Linked DNA regions of Macaca mulatta. The protein of the gene in region 2 purifies or fractionates together with the protein of the main gene of each other region. This does not show direct contact. Links are inferred from orthologs where the notes say so. Each region holds a gene or a part of one and is shown on either strand. Other genes may lie near its edges.

Region 1 (2,497 bases), on a different chromosome or scaffold from region 2:
TTTGCTGGAGAAAGACCATGACCTCTTCGTGTGGCGCCTCATGGTGTCTTCCCTGTCCGGCAGTCTCAAGGCCCCTCGTCGAGGCTCTGTCGCAGACCACTTGGCAATCTTGGAGGGGTCTTCATGGTAGAGCCCTGACTGGTGAGCTCTCTCATCCCTGCTCCCTCCCTGCCATCTCATTATTAGAAAGGGCAGTTTCTTGCTTTAAAACCATGTGGTTTCAAACACATGGCAAACCTGGCAGACTGTCCCAGATGAATGGCTGCCTAGTGACTCCCAGTGACAGACATAGCCCTAGAAATGGTCACAATGCTGAGGAGTTTACCTTTAGTCCATTCTCCCACCAGGACTGGGGCCCTGATCCTGATATTGATCTTTTCACTTTATCCTTTGGAGACTTTTTTCCTTTTCAAAACAATCCTTGGTGTTCTTTTTAACATAATTTTATCTGACTAAATTCAGGGAAGGGAGAGAGGTAAGTACAGATCACATGGAGTGACTTGCCTTAGGGAGGGCCAGATACATGACAATAGATTAACTAAAACAAATCAGCAACCAATCCAGCCCGCTTTCCTCAGACAGAGAAACACATTACAAAACTGTAAGGATCAGATATAGCCTTTAATTCCTAATGTTCAAAAACAATCCTGCCTTCTAAATCACAACTTTTAAAATTAATCATAAGGCTAAATAGTTCGAGTTGTAAGATCTGTCCACTTCAAATAAGGATACCTTTTATAAAGTACTTTATTGTGGTTTCACAGATTTCAAGGTGCTTCTACATGGCTTCAGGGACTCTCACAACAAACCCTCAGTGGGTCAGCGTCTTCTAAGATTAAAATATTAACACCAATGCATGCAAAGTAAAGTGAGGTACAGTGAGGTTAAGGCAAAGTGGCAATGTTAAAGAGGCCCACAACACACAAGGGATCAGAGCCCAGGCCAAATTCTTGCTCCCCACCTCCACCCCACCCCAAGAAGAAATTTATTTTTTATTTGTTTTTATTTTTAGAAAGAGTCTCACTCGGTCACCCAAGCTGGAGGCCATGTCATGATCACAGCTCCTGTAACCTCAAACTGCTAGACTCAAGCAATCTTCCTGCCTCAGCCTCCCAAGTAGCTAGGACTACAAGCATGTGCCACCACACTTGGCTCATTTAAAAATTTTTTTGTAGAGATGGGGGTCTCACTGTGTTGCCCAGGCTGCTCCCAAACTCCTGGCCTCAAGAAGGCACTAGATTGAATGACAACAGCTACAGCATTTCTTATTGAACTCAACCCTGTGTGACCCTTGAAATTATAAAACCCACTGATCAAAATAGATGCTATAATCTTTACCACAAGTGAATAATTAACCCTGTGCTCAAACTGCTGCAAAAATATGAGATTCAAATGTTGGAGCCAGTGAAGTTTGTATGAAGGAGAGTTTCTGCCGGTGGGATGTGGCAGTGCCACTCTCCTTACATCTTGGCTGTCAGCTTTTTGGCTTGGTCCTGCAGCTCCATTGTTGCAATTGCTGAAAGGTGAACTTCGTCAGGTCCATCTGCTAAACGCAAACTTCGGGTTACAGCATACCTGAAAAAGCAAAAGAACCAGGGATCACAGGGAGTTATGGAAGAGGAACATGATACTTTGACGTCAGTCACTCTGATTGTAAAACAAGACTATATTAGTTCTTAAATCCCACCAAGGTCACGGTAAGAAAAAGAGTACCAGGAAAATAAGCTAAAGGGCTTCTGCAATGCCATCTTAAAGTTCCCAACTTCGGAGAGTTAAATGGCAAAGTACAGTGGAGTTAATCTCATTCCTGGTTTCCTATAGTTTACTAGATGTTGCTAGAACTTAGAACAGGCAGTGAATGGTATGATACTATATATTTAGTTCTTTCTTAAGGGTAAAAATAGATGAAGGATGAGACTCTATGTCCAGCATGACAGAGAAGGAGACGCTGTAATTATGTGTGGAGATAGACAGATGGGGAATGGAGAATGCTCCTACCTCCCAGTAATCAGGATCTAGATATTAGATAGTCACTGACATGTACCGCTATAAATTCAGCGAAACCCCATGCTGTGTCTATGGCCCAGGAATTCTCGGTGGGTCACCTCAGTGTAAAAATTAACATAATTGAATGAAACGATTATTGTAATAATAAGAGCAACTATTTCTTGGTGTTCAGCTCTATATTAAAGTATGTATATCACTTCATTTAGCCTTCAATTACACTGAAACTAAATGTAAGCAATTCTTGTCAAGGCATCTATAGATTTTTTACCTCCATGCCTATCAAATGTAGATGATTCTTAAATGACATCTACTCACATGTTGGCCAGAGGGTAATCCTGGGAAACACCAGCACCTCCGCACACCTGGATGGCCCAGTCAACGATTTTGCAGACAGCCCGTGGGGCAGCCACTTTGATCATTGCAATCTACATAAGCAAGATATGAAAAGAATGCTTTTTTCTTAGACTATACGCAATGTGGCAAAACTGGG
Region 2 (3,824 bases):
TGATCTGTTTCAAAAGTTATACACGACTGAGGTGTGACTTCATCAGAGTCAGGTGCCTTTCTCAGTCTTTAATTATTTCTGAGCTGCAGCTATGGCTTACTTCATGTGTCCTTGGGTCAATTTAGATAAATTTTATTTTATTTTATTCTATTTTATTTTATTTTACTTTATTAATTTTTTAGAGATGGGGTCTCACTCTGTCCCCCAGGCTGGAGTGCAACGGGGCAATCTCAGCTCACTGCAGCCTCAACCTCCTGGGCTCAAGTGATCCTCCCACCTCAGCCCCCTAAACAGCTGGGACTACAGTGCATGCCACCACACCTGGCTAATTTTGTATTTTTTGTAGCGATGGGGTTTTGCCATGTTACCCAGGTTGATCTCAAACTCCTGAGCTCGGGCAATTTGCCTGCTTCAGCCTCCCAAAGTGCTGGGATTATAGGCGTGACTCACCACACTCAGCCAATAATTTGCAAATTTTAGAAAAGCATTAGGTTTTCAGATTGATTATCAGATAATTACAGGCAGTATTTCCTTGTAATACCTTTAATTTTCCTCTATGCTCATGTCTATTGCATTTTCTCTTTGCAATTAAAAAAAAAGAAAACAAAACTTTCCAAATATTATTTACTTCACTAAACCCTGGAGCAAGGCAAGAAAAAGGTATGTCAATGTCTAGGACACCAAGCCTAGGAATTTGAGACCAACTTATTATCACCTTCATCTCTTACCTCATCGCAGAGTTCTTGCGGGGCTCAGAGGAAAGTCTCTGGGCCGGCACACACAGGGGAGAGGCCACGGCCCTGGGCATCATTTTGGGGGTCATCGGTGGAAGGCCAGATAAGCGCCGCCTGGCGGGTGTGGGCAAGGCTGACGCACGCCGTGCGCTCAACAGGCTTTGTGGTGCTGGCCCAGATGAGCGTCTAACTGGGGTGCTGTGGACGGGGACCCTGGCAAACACAACATCAATGTCGTCAGCTGAGATGACATAAAAAAAGTGAAACCTAATCATTCAGCCTGTGCCAATGCAGCGCCGAGTGCTTCGGTCCCAGCCGAGAAGAGCCGAGCCCTCGAGCCTGTGTGAGCTCTGCTCTCCCGGGACACGCCCCAAGGCGGGCAGGGCTCCGAGCTGCTACCAACCCGCCCTGGTGTGGGCTTCGGGCTCCCAGTGGGAATGCCTTCACTGCCCTTCCTCACAGGCGACTCAAAGAAAATTGATCAAATGTGACTGCACTTTACGGATGCTACCATTGAATGTCACTTCACAGGAAGTTCTGAAGAGACTGAGCAAATCATCTTTTGGCGGTGTCATAGATATTGCCATAAGGAAGTCAGAGCCGCAGCCTGTCTGGTGGGCCAGCGAATGGGGGAGCAGGTCTCGCTGCACGCCCACTCATTCCCAGGCTTAAGGTTGCCTGAATCAAATGTGAACACAAATGAGTGAAGAGGGAGCTGGGCACTTGGTCCTCACACCCCTCACATCCCTGGCAATACCTGTGGCTCGGGCTACCCATGGGTCTTGCCTAACTGTTGCTTTCTTATGTTGCTGTTGATGAAGAGGAGGCTGAGTCAACTGTCATTTGCTGTGGACTGAATGTCTGTGTCCCCAGATTCATGTGCTGAAATCCTAGCCCCTAAGGTAATGGCATTAGAAGGTGGGGCCTTTAGGAGGAGATCAGGTCATGGAGCCAGAGCCCTCAGGAATGAGATCTGTGCCCTTAGAAAAGAGGGCACACTTGTGCATACCTGTGGTCCAAGCTACTCAGGAGGCTGGGGTGTGAGGATCATTTGAACCCAGGAGGTGGAGGCTATAGTGAGCCATGATTGCACTACTGCACTCCAGCCTGGGCAACAGAGCAAGACCCTGTCTCAGAAAAATAAACAAACATAGGCCAGGAGCAGTGGCTCATGCCTGTAATCCCAGCACTTTGAGAGGCCGAGGCAGGTGGATCACGAGGTCAGGAGATCAAGACCATCCTGGCTAACATGGTGAAACCCTGTCTCTACTAAAAATACAAAAAATTAGCCAAGTGTGGTGGCATGTGCCTGTGGTCCCAGCTACTCGGGAAGCTGAGGCAGGAGAATCGCTTGAACCTAGAAGGTGGAGGTTGCAGTGAGCTGAGATCGTGCCACTGCACTCCAGCCCAGGTGACAGAGCTAGACTCCATCCAAAATAAACAAATAAATAAATAAACATAAAAGAGACTTGTTCACCCCTACTCCAGTGAGGACAGAGAGAAGGAGGCATCTGTCAATCAGGAAACAGGCCCTCACCCGACACCAAATCTGCAGGTACCTTGATCTTGGATTTCTAGCCTCCAGAACTGTGAGAAACAAATGTTTGTTGTTCAAGCTACACAGCCGACAGAACGTTTGTTATAGTAACCCAAAAAGGACAAAGACATTATTTTAAAATAAAATGAGTCAAGGACATCCCACCACGTGGCCCCCACAGGAGACCAGGGAGACCTGTCTGTTGCTCTATTCTGGGCAATTGTTAACATACTTCAAAAGGAGCCTGAAAACAGACTGACTCTAGCTTATTTAAATGGAAAAAAAGCAAAGAGGCTGAAATCAAGAGAAAAACAGAATCACTCCAGAGAGCAACTGCTGTCACCCCCAGCCGCTGCTCTCTGCCACGTTCTGGGATTCCCCACCCTCCTCCCTTTATTGCTAAGTTCTGGAAGCCCCACCACAAATTCCAGTGAAAATAAAAATTTCAGCCGGGCACGGTGGCTCACGCCTGTAATCCAGCACTTTGGGAGGCCAAGGCGGGTGGATCATGAGGCCAGGAGATGGAGACCATCCTGGCTAACACGGTGAAACCCCGTCTTTACTAAAAATACAAAAAATTAGCCGTGCGTGGTGGTGTGCACCTGTAGTCCCAGCTACTCGGAAGGCTGAGGCAGGAGAATGGTATGAACCCGGGAGGCGGAGCTTGCAGTGAGCTGAGATCCGGCCACTGCATTCCAGCCTGGACGACAGAGCGAGACTCTGTCTCAAAAAAAAAAAAAAAAAAAAAAAGAAAAGAAAAATTGGCTCCTTTCTGGCAGTGACGACCTACCCATACGAGAACATGCCTCTCGCAAAGGATCTCCTTCATCCCTTCCCAGAAGAGAAGAGGAAACAAAGAAGAAACGCCTGGTGCAGAGCCCCAATTCCTACTTCATGGATGTGAAATGCCCAGGATGCTATAAAATCACCACGATCTTTAGCCATGCACAAACGGTAGTTTTGTGTGTTGGCTGCTCCACTGTCCTCTGCCAGCCTACAGGAGGAAAAGCAAGGCTTACAGAAGGATGTTCCTTTAGGAGGAAGCGGCACTAAAAGCACTCTGAATCAAGATGAGTGGGAAACCATCTCAGTAAACACATTTTGGATTAAAAAAAAAACAAGAAAAAATTCTGATGAATGTAATCCTCAAAGTAATCCTGGGTGAGTTGAGGAAACTGAGGCACAGAGAGGCAAGTGAGGTGACCAGTGGCTGCCTGGGTCTGGTCTTTGCTCTTCACCACCATGCGTGGGAGGGACAGCAGCTTAGCACTGTACCACATGCACCACGTGAGGGACTGGCTGGTTCGACCTTGCAAAGCGTGTCCTGAGCTCACACAGGAGGAAACTAAAGCCCGGAGTCATTAAAAGACTTGCAAGCGGCCCCAGGCTGGTCTGTGGCAGAGCCAGTGGCACCCTCTCCGGTGTCCTAGCCCAGGCTTACTCTGCCCACTCCACCTCAGCAAGGCCCAGAGCAGTGCCCGCCTGGTCACACACTGGCACCAGGACCCCATGCTGGTCCGGGGGGTCTGAGTGTCCTTCCTGCTGCCCAGCTC

The links.
Region 1: the proteins of GTSE1 (region 2) and ACAD11 purify together in Homo sapiens (co-immunoprecipitation; 3 studies listed by BioGRID and IntAct, counting the BioPlex papers as one, with this or other methods). This does not show direct contact. The link is inferred for Macaca mulatta from reciprocal best matches to the Homo sapiens genes GTSE1 and ACAD11.

What each region holds. Positions count from the first base shown.
Region 1 is NC_133407.1:35,656,021-35,658,517, forward strand, and holds the end of ACAD11 (acyl-CoA dehydrogenase family member 11), read right to left. Parts: intron 2,433-2,497; coding exon 2,323-2,432; intron 1,576-2,322; coding exon 1,461-1,575; 3' UTR 603-1,460; downstream 1-602. UniProt on the Homo sapiens protein: Acyl-CoA dehydrogenase, that exhibits maximal activity towards saturated C22-CoA.
Region 2 is NC_133415.1:5,151,273-5,155,096, forward strand, and holds part of GTSE1 (G2 and S phase-expressed protein 1), read right to left. Parts: intron 3,346-3,824; exon of another isoform or gene 3,040-3,345; intron 948-3,039; coding exon 729-947; intron 1-728. UniProt on the Homo sapiens protein: May be involved in p53-induced cell cycle arrest in G2/M phase by interfering with microtubule rearrangements that are required to enter mitosis. Overexpression delays G2/M phase progression.